Arabidopsis thaliana: one gene and its partner. The protein of the gene in region 2 interacts with the protein of the main gene of each other region in a pairwise test. Each region holds a gene or a part of one and is shown on either strand. Other genes may lie near its edges.

The links.
Region 1: the proteins of ABH1 (region 2) and CBP20 interact in binary tests that used the Arabidopsis thaliana proteins (3 or more experiments, as listed by UniProt).

Annotation. Positions count from the first base shown.
Region 1 is NC_003076.8:17,801,080-17,806,150, forward strand, and holds CBP20 (CAP-binding protein 20), read right to left. Parts: upstream 3,125-5,071; 5' UTR 2,917-3,124; exon of another isoform or gene 2,822-2,916; 5' UTR 2,797-2,821; coding exon 2,779-2,796; intron 2,573-2,778; coding exon 2,349-2,572; intron 2,265-2,348; coding exon 2,126-2,264; intron 2,038-2,125; coding exon 2,004-2,037; intron 1,870-2,003; coding exon 1,759-1,869; intron 1,424-1,758; coding exon 1,358-1,423; intron 1,270-1,357; coding exon 1,163-1,269; intron 1,058-1,162; coding exon 983-1,057; 3' UTR 658-982; downstream 1-657.
Region 2 is NC_003071.7:5,635,073-5,642,908, reverse strand, and holds the start of ABH1 (ARM repeat superfamily protein), read right to left. Parts: upstream 6,026-7,836; 5' UTR 5,857-6,025; coding exon 5,773-5,856; intron 5,689-5,772; coding exon 5,629-5,688; intron 5,530-5,628; coding exon 5,473-5,529; intron 4,988-5,472; coding exon 4,916-4,987; intron 4,808-4,915; coding exon 4,745-4,807; intron 4,572-4,744; coding exon 4,395-4,571; intron 4,211-4,394; coding exon 4,082-4,210; intron 3,859-4,081; coding exon 3,792-3,858; intron 3,613-3,791; coding exon 3,413-3,612; intron 3,198-3,412; coding exon 3,127-3,197; intron 2,665-3,126; coding exon 2,580-2,664; intron 2,434-2,579; coding exon 2,365-2,433; intron 2,274-2,364; coding exon 2,155-2,273; intron 1,848-2,154; coding exon 1,709-1,847; intron 1,508-1,708; coding exon 1,007-1,507; intron 917-1,006; coding exon 617-916; intron 533-616; coding exon 287-532; intron 204-286; coding exon 96-203; 3' UTR 1-95. UniProt on the Arabidopsis thaliana protein: Component of the cap-binding complex (CBC), which binds cotranscriptionally to the 5'-cap of pre-mRNAs and is involved in various processes such as pre-mRNA splicing and RNA-mediated gene silencing (RNAi) by microRNAs (miRNAs).

The DNA of each region.
Region 1 (5,071 bases), on a different chromosome or scaffold from region 2:
TCAAATATTTTTAAAACTCAATTAAAGTCCATAAAAAAATTTGCAATTGATAATGTTAACATATCGTGGCAAAAAAAAAAAAAAAGTACAACACATAATTGGAGTTTAGATATACGAATATTCTTTTAATTGGTTCCATGTAAAAAACTTAATTCAAACGGATTCGATTGGTGACACAAAATGGTAAAAACAAAAAAGCGGAAAAAGTTTTAAAAATACTAGAATAGTTGAAAGAAGTAAAAAAAATACAGGTACAAAAAATACAATAGTACAAAAAAATACTAGAATAGTTGTAGATATACTTTTGTGTTTAGTAAACTATTAAAGCATTAAATATTGTACCATGCGATAGAGATTACCAATCAAAAGCCAAAGTGATGATGCAGAATAAGTTAATAACAATTACTTTGGGGTAAGAAGTTTAAATTACTCTTGAATGTAGAAGGCATGAAAGTGGCATGTTTGATGGATTGTGTTTGTCGAGCATTGTGCAGACGCAGCTCAATAACGTTAATTTATATACATTCAACTCTTGAAAGACATTGAAGCTGTATCTTTGGCTTTGACACACTAGCAGCTCTCGATGGAGTTATGCGTGATCTAGTTAGTTACTATATCTCATTCTCCATCAGATAAATGTAAGTTCGTATAATACTTTTTCGGAAGCTTCTAATGCATAAAGGAGCTGTATTTGGACAAATACTTTGAGAAATGTAAGAAGCGTACAATGTGATGAGAAAGAATGATACAAAGTGATTAGTGAGTACTATGGAGGGCCTTCACTCGGCTACTTTAGCCCAATAGACTAGTAATGACATATCAGTTGATCAAGGAGCAAAAGTTAATGAGGACACTGATATTGAACGAAACCACTTAAGAAAGGTTGTAATGAAAATCTAGAAAACCCAAACTGAGTTCAGACTCATCAATCTAAAGATTACATTGACCATTCAGCAACATTGACAACTTCTAAAGTTTTGTTTTAAGATCTTCTCTTCCGATCATCTTCACCATCGTCATCGGAGTCACCGCTCTCACGGAATCGTGGGTTCTTCTCCTGTTACAATCACACAAAATTCCATAGCAGACAGTGTTTTAGCATCAGATACTAAATATACTCGAAACGTTTAGTAAGGAAAAAGAAAAAGGCCTTGTTATTTACCGGTCTCATGTCACTATCAGTGTCTCTCCTAGACTCATGATCTGTGTTTCTTCTTGAGTTATCGCGGCCATAGCGATCATCGTCTCTTTGTCGTTTCCGATGGTAGTCTGCAAAAACATTAAAAACAGTGAATTGTGCTATTGTGGCTGAGGATTACACTATTACTACGCATTATGTCATTTGGGATAAAAATACCTCCTCTTCCATGGCGATTTTGTCCTCCTTGACCATAGTTTCCACCACCACGCCTTCCATTTCCATCTGTGATTAACATATGCAAAAAGCATTTAGGAATCTAGTGTTTTGCAGGCTCTATTTACGGATTCTCACATAATTTGACTTGAATAAGATACTTAACACTAGGACCATATCTTGTTTCACATTTTCACTATCTATTCGAAAGGGAACTGGGAAAACAATAAGCAGATGCTTTGCAAGATAAAGAGTCTTATTCTGAGCACTACAATTCTAAGTAAAGCAACTTAAGACTCGCATTCATGGTACTTTTAGTTCACCATTTGTCCACAGTATAGTGCGAAATCATGAAACCAGGAATAAGATCAAGTAAATTTGGTAGAAAGTTGAAAAAAACATACAATTCGTTGGCGCAGCTTGAGGATAAGCTCCCAATGAGCCAGTACCGTAATCCACGAGCTGCCTTTGTGCTTCGAGTTCCTTCTGAACTAATTTCCCATAACCACCTCTAGGTAATCAATGAGTTAAGGAAAAAACACATGGATTGGCGGGAAATTCATAACCGAGAAATCAATCTTTCCTACCACAAAACAGGTATACTAAACAAGAACAACAGAGTGCATAACTATGCGGACTAAAAGGATATCAGGATCGTAATCTGTACGGTATTCATCACGAACCTGTATGAAATTAGAAAACCATGATGACCTTTTAATTGTAAAGAAACGGTCAGGGAATTACAGAGAGGATGATGCATCTGATGAATACCTGGCCACCGCTTCTACCACGGCCCCATTGTCTTCCTTCTTGGAATCCCCAATCAAAATCCACACGAATAGGCCGGTCATCGAGAATAGTCCCACTTATATACTTGACTGCATCTTCAGTATCCTCTCTAGAGTAGAACCTGATAAAAACAAGACACAAAACCAAAACTCAGCAACCACCATAATGAAACTTACATATAAAACTGTTGAAGATGAAAGCTTACAGGACGAAACAAAAGCCACAAGGTGTTTTAGTGTTCTTATCCAAACCCATGATGATCTTTTTGATTTCTCCAGCTCTAGAGAAAAGCTCGTAAAGCTGTTCTTCAGTAGTGTAAAAAGACACATTGCCAATGTAAACCGTTGTAGATGCTCTTAGCGCTTCATCAAACTCCTCTTGTGTTCCTGAAAATCTTCTATCACGATAAGCTGATAGCTTTGCTTGCTCCTGACAATCAAAAACCCCAAACATGAAATCGTGAGACCAAACCCTAGACAACAACTTCAAAAATCAATTAGAATCGCTTCAGACCCATCAGATTCCAGACAACCCGGATACTAAATTCACTAAAAACATTAACGAATCTCGATTTTCTATGCTAGAAAAAGCAAAACCCAGAAATGGTTTCCGATAAAAATCTAAACTTTATGTACCTTGAACAAAGAAGCCATCGCTTCACGGTGAGAAGAAGTGAATCTGCGATGATGAGAGAGGAGGATAGCTTAAATTAGGTCTATGCGGGGTGAAAGAAGAAGAAGATGAGCGAGAAATCGAGAAGGAGAGACACTTACACTCGTCTTCTTCAAAAAGGGAACCCTAATTTCTAAAGCAGAAGCAGAACTGATAGAAGAAGGCAAGGACACTCCGGCGACTCTCGAGTATCCGGTTTCATGGCCCACCTTACGAAACCTTACAAAGTTACAATTAATTCACAAATATTATTGTTGGTATTAATTTAATATTAAAACAAATAAAAAACCCAAATTTTTTGCATCTAAAATGTTCAATCAAATAACAATTCCGGTTTGGTTTCGGTTCAATTATTTCGGTTTCGCTTTATTTGTTTAAACCATAAAACCAATTTGTAATTCAATTTAGTTAGGTCTCGACATAATAATCGAACCCTACGAACCAACCCAAACCCGACCGAAAACCCTGATCCAAATCCAAAAATTTCAAATATTCAACGGGTCCTAAACTTCAAAACCCGAAAAACTCTAACCCAAACCCGATCTGAACAAATATCCAAACATACCTCAAATATTTGATATATTATTTATATTCATACTTAAATACAGAAAATATTTGGATATTTGGATATTTTAGTTATTTTGTGTATTTTAGGTTACTTTGGATATATTAAAGTAAAACTATTCGTGTTGTTTTGAGAGTTTTTGAAATTTTCAAGTAATTTGATAAATTTACATACAAAATTTTGATATTTTAATATTTAAATAAACCTGAACTCGAACGGTTTAAAATTTTAAAATACCCGAACGGGTCTTAAACTTCTAAATCTGAAATACACAAACTCGAAATATTCGATCCGAATACTGAACGCCCTTTAGTTTTAATTTGGTTTAAATGATATTCCGGTTTGGTTTGTTGTGGTTGTTGGTTTTAATTTCACAGTTCAGCATTAGCAAACCTTAAATTTTATATTTTTAAACATCCTTTATTTCTAATTTCTAGATTTTTGCCTATGAAGATATCTTCAAAGTAATGTTTTAAGAAAATACCTCTTTAAGGACAAGAAAATCATATAAGGAACTTTGCTGAGGAGACATAGAAATAGTTATTTCTCGTTGTTGTAAGCGGTGGTTTAGGTGACTCATTTTCGAAGTTAAAGCTCTCGTTAAATCTGTGTTGAAGCTTCATAATCTACTATGGTGTTCCCTCCAGATCACTTTTTATTACTCCAATACTCATTTTTGAGAGATTCACTGAAGATACTCTAACATACATACGTGTATCTGTAACGTAACGGGATTCAAATACCATTTTTTCTCTTTTTTTGTGTTATGTTGTAGGATCAAAAAAATTGTGACTTTTGTGTGGATTAACATTTGACAATAACGTTAGACGTATCCATTATTCATGTGTTAAAGTAAAATACTTATTCAATAAAAGTTAATATAATTCTAAATTTGTTTTATTTATCGAGTTAAATGAGTTAACTATAACATATATTACATATATGAAATCCTCTACAGCTGTTACACAACAATGTTCATCAATATCCAATGCTGCTATTCTTCTGAAATCTGGACATCAATCGCAAAGAATGTGTACAAAGATAGATTTTCCACAAAATGGTCTGCTGTGGTGAATTACATATCTGATTCTCAGCCTGATCGCATCCAAAGTTTCTTATCCAGGTACACATTCCAAGTCTCTATTCATTCCATTTGGAGGGAGAGAAATTCTCGTCGTCACGGAGAGAAGTCACGTTCAGCTTCAAACCTCATCCGACAGATAGACAAGACTATTAGAAACCAGCTATCGACAATCAAAAAGAAAGGGGATCTTCGACTCGAGAAGGGGCTGCAAGTATGGTTTGACATGCGTCCATAGCATCCTCTAAGAAAGAAGACTCTGTTTTTGCTCTCTCAATTCTATTTACTCTGTTTTTGATCTAGCTCTATTTCTCTTATTATCAAAATATCAAAAAAGCTGATGTAAAAAGTATATTTTTTCTTTTAAATATAATTTGACATTTTATTCAAAAAAAAAAAAAAACAATGTTCATCAATAAAGTTGATTGTTGTTGATTTCTTAAAACAGGAAATCAACGAAATCTCCCAAAGTAAATAAAATTGTGTATCAACCTGTATGCCATGTATCTAAATAACAAATCAAAATCTTTTAGCAATAGATTCAAAAAAAAAGAAAAAACTTTTTGCAATATGATATGTCATATAATGATAATTAAGTTGATACAAATTG
Region 2 (7,836 bases):
GACTCTTTTCAATTTCCTAATAACTTGATGTCAGAATCAGAATCTCATAACAAAAAACAAAAGAGACAGGTTTGATTGAGATTGAAAGAGGAAGATTAATGTAATGGGAATTGAAGTGCAGAAGATATGGCTTGGAGAAAGAGAGGATGCACATCTTCACCCGAGAACACTTCTGACTCCAACTTCTCCATGTGAGGCCATATCTACAAGAACATGGTGAAACAAGTCAATATTCAATCTACTAAAGCTCTTACAACAACATCCCAACTATTAAGTTATTTTTTACCTCGCTCGCATATTGCCTTGTAAATGCCGTGAGATAGCCAAGTGTTGATAAGCACCACTGTTCTCTCTCACCGACTTCGCAACTCTTCTTTGGGTTTCCATTCTCGCTGTCCACGTCCATCGCAGATGGCTTGTCATCTTCAGCACCTATAGATTTTAGATCCTGCACTGATCTCACTTTAGTTGGATCTGGGAGCCGTTCCTTCAGTACACCTAAGAAACTTTGGAACAGCAAGAGCAGTAAAACCTATGCACAAGTCAACTCAATTAGCTTTTAGTAGATAAAAGGAAATAATAAGATCATGTGCTGCATTAAACTAATATATAATACCTCGGTCTCAGAGAGAGCTCTGTTAAGAAGAGCCTCTTTTGCCTCTAGGGACTCCCGAAGAGATAACTCCGCTTCCCCTGTCTTCTCCACTGTTGATTTTAAACGCTTCATCTTCGCTGGATTCTCACCAAGAACGGGTTCACCTTCCACTAGGGAAAGTTTGCTCTCAGCAGCCTCCAACTCTACTCGTGCATTGGCTGAAGCTTTCTCAGCAACCAAAACATTTTTCGTAATGTTTGATATATCTTTCCTCAAATCAGAGATACGGTTATAAGTCTTGTTAAGAGCATTGCCAAGTATCTGCAGAGACAGAAACAGATTTACGAAGATAAACAAACTTGCTCTGCAGAGTGTAGAAAATAAATATACTTCTGTTAAAACGCAACTGACCTCCCATGGCTGATCAGACACATGAAACTGATCAACATTTTCTGGAGAGAACACCCATCTAACAATTGCCTGATTAGATACTAGTCTATAACCCATCATCCTATCAATTGCCACCGCCGTCATTTGTACATTGTTTTTCCAGTATGTACTCACTTGAGATAATAGCATCACCTGCTTATCGTTATCAGGACAAAGCTTTGAAAATACTTGGCCATATCGCTCCAGGACAGTGACCAAATGAGTGAAACTTTTTGATCCGATGTCAAGTAAGGTCTGTACAACTATTGTAAGAGTAACTTCAAAACCATGAACTGGATATATCGTTTCTTCAATCCACACTATCATGTCACGTGCGGTTTGTTTTTCCTTGACCTTCCTGCTCAATTCGGCTGACAATTGCTGTTCTTCTGTTTTCTCTTTACCTTCTTCCAAGGAATACATAAAATTCGGACCAGCTTTTGGAGGAAGTAATTCTTCTAGGGCAGTCGCATTCTCAATGCTCTGTTAGACACACATAGAAAAAACAATATAGCCTGAGGAAGGATATCTGATGCTTAAGTTTGGAATGATATATCCATGTGGATAACAAGATGAAACATTGATCCCCCACAAAATGGAATAAGACAAATAACCCTAGGCTAAGAGAAAAGTATATCTGATGCTTAAGTTTGGCAGCTATTAGGATATCTGACGATCTGTTACCTGCTTAATTTTATCCCAGTAAGACAAGCGTACTTCTCTTTGCAAAATCTCCTGAACAAATACACGCTTAGGGGCCCACTTGGGAAGATCCAACACAAAAGCCCACTCTTCCCACGGCCAGATGAATTGGAAGTTGGATCTGTTAAGCATGGAGTTATCAACATGAGAGTAGAGAGCAAAACGAAATACGTAATCAACTTCATGTGATGAATAACATATTTCTCAATTAATCGAGAAAGTAAGACTCAAACACGACCACTGTATCATGTAAACGAATCGTCAGTAATGCTGACTGAAAATCCATATTTTATGTTTCAATAATCCATATTTTATAAGCTAGGTAACTTTCTAACATATATGGAACATTCACCAAACATTCGACAATAAAGCACCTTTTCCAGATTACAAAAAATCAAGAGGTAAGAAATATGAAATTATATACTTACAAGTGGTGAGAAAACCAGAGGATAAGACGCGTCCTGGATTCCATGTCTAAGTCGGATATTTTCTCAAATAGTGCACGAACAGCGCCAGCAACAACAGCAGGAAAGGCACCCGGAAGAGCCTAAATTAATTGAATATTTGGAATCAGGTTGAAAAAAGAAATAACAGCAGGGATTTAAAAACCATCGGATGAACAGTATAATCCTTTGTACCTTACAAAGATCCATAATCACGAGTGTATAATAAAGAGTCTTGAATGGTGGCTGGGGTAGCAGCAGTATCTGAAAAACAGTAGATACAATTGTTATATTTAAAAATCACAGATCTTGGAATTAATTGGTATAATCTGCCAGAAACGTATGCTTTTATATTACAACGTGAATACTCACTAGAGAGATAATCCCAAAATTTATACAACAGAAGTTACCTGAGAAAATAGTGTCTCTGCCATAAGATACTCGTACCGAAATGTAACAGGAAGATTAGCCATGTAGGATGCACACTCCTTCCGACTAGCTTTGCAATAAATTAATTAGTGAAACAAAATTCTATATAATTTAAGAAGGCAAACAAAATTTAGTAACCAGAAAGAAAGAGACTTAGCATAAGCTAAGATGTTGATTAGAAAACATGTATATGCTAGGCAAGTCTACAACCATAATAATGACTTAAATAAGTATATGCTAGGTTCAACTAGATACTCAACGCAAAAACACTAGCCCTTAGTAGTAGCCAATTAGTCGCCCAGCTGAATCAGTGACCATATTATTCAAAGAGTAAGTCATGAACTTAGATTAATACACCATACTCTAAGGTTAATAATTTAGAAAACACGTGACTAATTTGCTATGGTTGGGGGACAAAAACCAAGATCTACACCAAAACCAGCATGAATGGACGACCACTGTGCAAGAAAAATATAGAAGAAACATACAAAAACGTCAAAAGAACACAAGCTTTGGGAAAATACACACCATCCATTCAAATAGAAGAGCACATCCAGCAAATACTCCTCCACGACAAAACGATCAATTGGTTGTACATCCTGCGAGTTTGATAGTTACAGAATCAGAAGAAAGGGTAGACAAAGAAAAGGAATACAAAAGGACACCATATAACCCATATATCAATCTACAAATATAATAGGTTAGAAAAAAGAAAAATGTTGACGACTGAAAAGGTAGCAAGTATAATAAGCTTCCATTAGCATGAAATATGTCCTATTCAGATAAACAATGACATCAAAAACCAGAATATTACCTCCATTTTATTAGCTGGAAATATATTCAACCTACGAATTCTCTGGGGATATCTCGTCAATGCATCATGCTTTTGCTTGCCACTGTATGCCCTCGAATGATCAGAAGGTGGACTCGGTTGTTCCATACATTTAATGGGACGTAGCTCATGAAACTTTCCAGCAACGAGTTGAGCTTCAAACGAGAGATGAGGCCTAGGTACTAGCACATTGAATATGCATGAAATTGTCAATTGTAATATACAACTAATATCTCTAGTCATATGAACTGATCAATTTGTAAGTCAAACAAGGTAGATAAGGATATTAAAAGAGAGGGTTCGTAGAAGATTGCAATCTTGTAATACAAAGAGATATGAGAAGTTGACAAAATAAGCATACCGCTTTCAAGTTTCCATCCATTGGAAGCCAGAGACTGAATTCGATCCAATAGATCCTCCACGAAATCCTAACGAGACACAAATGAGAAAGACGAATGACGCAGACCAAAAGTTATCACACCATGATACAAAATTCAACAGATATCTATCTCAAACAAAAGCAGAAATGAAACGTCACATCCATGCATCTTATTTATACATTTGCCAAGACATCTACCGAAACAAAATCAGAGGGGCAGCTAACACAAAGCAAATACAACAACTTCAAGAATTAAACACTAAAAGGCAAACCTTCTCTGCAAGGCTGCTTTCAAATTCTCCGTTGTGAAAAAAGTTTAACCCAGAGGTGGAAGAATTCTTTCGGATGCTCAAATAAGCTTGTATCCCAACTAACACTCTTTCAATCTCATCAGGAACTTGCTGCAAACCAAAGGGAAATTCAGCGGCCATACAAGTTAAGATAATAGATATGAAAGCAGACTAACAAAGTTGGTTGCAGATCCAACAAGGATGACATCATTATAAAATTGGAAACGCATATCCAGTATTCTAATAGCCTTCAATGTAAATAATTTCTAGAATGTATTTAGTCCAAGAGCAGTACCTCAGCGAGTTCTGATCCTCCCCACGGGAGGCTGGACAAGATGCATATAACGTAAAAGTCAGCTTGTGGCTGCCATGATGGATTTCCTTTCTCTTCATCCACAGTAGTGGCAGCAGATGATAGCAATGTTTCGAAGACGACAATCAAAGAAGCAGGTTGAATAACCTTACTGCACAACTAAAGAACCCAACTAAAACATGTTAGAAAATAGACAAAACATCTCAAAATTTTCACAAATACTGTTCTATATACTTCGCACTTTTATTTTTTAGACGCTTTCTGTGTATTAGAAACATGAACTAACATATTAAATAGACGAAGCAACCATGAAACATGATTAGCAACCATACCAGGGAAGTCATAAAGCGAAGCAATATACGGATACTGTTGCAGTTGCCAGAATCTAAAGCGACCTGGCATGTTTGACCAAGAAAAACAGTCACATTAGAAACAAAAGTAACTGAGAAAACTTATGTTATCAATTTATCCTTGGCCTTTGATGTACAGATTAGATTATTCACCTGGAAATTAGCGTGGACACTTTCTACTAGCTTCTGGACAAAATCTTCATTCTCCAAGTTCAACAAACCAATCTTAAACATGTGGAAAGACATCCATCAAACTTCGAAGTATGTGTATCAGATTAAATCGAACTAATTTATAACAGGGAACAGGGTATCTCAGTTCAAAAATAGATCCAAATGCTACTTACACAGATAAGAATTATACACAGAAAATATTCAAGCATTCTTTATTACTCAGAAGTTAGCAAATATTGATGAATACTATGAATAAATAGATTCCTACAACATGTTATATATGATATAATAGACACAAAATGATCCACCTTAAGGGCATTTCCACTATTATTTGTGTTTCTGAAGTGTTCATTTGTTTCAAGTTAAATGCCTTCCGTTATTGCTTCGAGCTAATTATTCTTCGATAAGAATCAGTTCACAGATACCATAACATACTCAATCAAAACCTCCACATATATAACACATCTAAATGCAAGCCCAACATCCAACACATACCCAGAAATGAAAAAGCCAAGGTAACTAGTTTATAAGAGACTTACCAAAGTCCCATACAAAGGAATCTTATGAGGCAATTGTTCAGCACATTGTAGTAGAAACTGTTAAGACGAAAACAAAAATAATGAGAACACACAATAATAATATCCACAGAGATACATCACAACAGATCCTAAAATTGAAGGCTCGAAGTCACTTACAGGCAAAACTTGATCTCCAGAACGCTCGATTTCTCTACGAATGACACCGAAACAAGTCTCCTGTATATAGAGAATCGGAAAAGTTTTGAGTAGTGAGAAAATTAGGGTTTAAGAGCGAGGATGAATCGAGAGAGAGATACTGACGATGTGGTCTTTGTAGTCGGAGGAAGTGCCGTACTCAGGTCCCTTTTCGCCGATGCGAAGGAGAAGAGTTTTCCAATTGCTCATCTTCTTCCGAGAGGTTTTTCTTCAGTTCGTCTCTTTGTTGTTTCTCCTTTGGTATCAGTCACTCTGCCCTAGTTTTTTTTTTTATGTCCGTGTCTCGTCAAAACTAATTTTTTTTTTTTTTTCTCATAAGTGTTGTCATCTAAGAAAAGGAGTTCACAAAAAGAGTTTGACAAAAAGTTTTTCTCTCTCTTCTTTCTCTTAGTAGCTGAAACTAGCCGTTAAAACAATAGTCGTCCCAGTTAATTTGGAGCCTAAAGACTTTTCTCTCAGGTGTTCTATTCTGAACGGAGCTTCTACCAGAAATATTTACGTGTTCGGTCCGGTCTAAATTGTTGTTTTCTTCCTCGGATTTTTGGTAGTTCTGACTCTTTCTCTGTTACGAGAGTTTGCTTTGTGATTCTCAGTTCTGTGTTGGTTATCATCTGAATTACTCGGATTTCTTCACTGTTTTTTCTCTTGGAGTTTGTTTCCTGCAAATCAGGTTTGACGAGTTCGGGAAAGTTGTTTACTCTCTATCAGGATCTCATCATGGAGCTGGATAAAGCCATTCAGAATATGTCGATTTAAGACAATAAGCCTCTGATTCTTTCTGATCAACCGCGCTTTTGTTCAATTAACAGAAACAACTGTCGTTAGTTGGGTAGGTTTTTGAATCTAGAGAATCAAAGGATGTCTAATTGGATATTAGATATGCCACGAATTTGGAGAATTTCTTCTCGGGTTAGAGGTGTTGCTCTCTCAAAGGATCGATTCCAATTTTTCTTCAAATCTGAGGAAGATTTAGAAGAAATTATGAAAATTGGAGTTTGGACAGAAGATAAATTGGGGTGTAGTCATGGATAGATGGATTGAGAATCCTCCAATTGATTATCTGAATTTTCTTCCAATCTGGGGTCGAGTGAGGAATATTTCGGTGAACTATTATACTCAGGACACAATTAAAGAGATCACGAGCTGTATTGGGGAAGTGAAGGAGGTGGTGATGGACTCTGAAAAATCACAGTTTCAGGACTATGTTCGTGTTCGGGTTTTGTTTCATGTCGCCAATCCACTTCGTAACAATAAAGAGGTACAACTTCCATCTGGTGAAGTTGTCACAATTTCTTTTGACTATGAACAGATTAGAAAGAGATGTTTCTTGTGTCAAAGATTAACTCATGATAAAAATAGATGCCCATCCAAAGTCTTAGATTCCATCAAACATGATGTGAGATCATTACAAGAGAAAGGCAAACAGAAGAAGATGTTTTTACCGAGGCTGGCTGAGTTTCCCTTTCAGTCAATTGCTCCCAAAGGAAGGGTAGATGCTTTGCCAGCAAATCCTCTATCAGCTACTGTTGCAATTGATAGTCATCCAGAGAATACTTTGTTAGCTGAGATGCTAGATTTGGACATTAGTACTGGATTTACCACATGTGTTGGTGAGGCTAGTTCCTCCACTTCAGGGTTTAAACATCATATAATGCAGGATTTCACTCCTTTTCAGTTCAGGAAAGAAAAACTAGTTAATGAGCTGTCTCTGAAGAATAAGGTTATTCAGTCTCCTGCCTCTCCTCATTTTGAAAAGGTGTTCAAAAGGAAAAGAAAACCCTCAGACATTACAGAAGCTCAAAGTTTCAAGAGAGACAAGAATACGGTGGTTCCAAGTGAACCACCGTTGGATCAGTAAGGCGTCCTTAGTTGGAATTGTCAAGGCTTGAGGAATCCTTGGACAATTCGACACCTTAAGGAGATGAAAAAAAATCATATCTCGGACATTTTATTCTTCATGGAGACTATGAATCCTGACGAGTTTGTTTCAAAAGTTATTGATTGGCTTGGTTATAACTATATGTATACAATAGAACCTCAAGGGAGAAGTGGTGGCTTAGCAATCTTTTGGAAAAGCCATTTGGACATTGAGATTCTTTTTGATGATAAACATCTTTTGGATCTTCAGTGTTCTTCTAGAAATAAAGTATGCTTTGTTTCTTGTGTTTA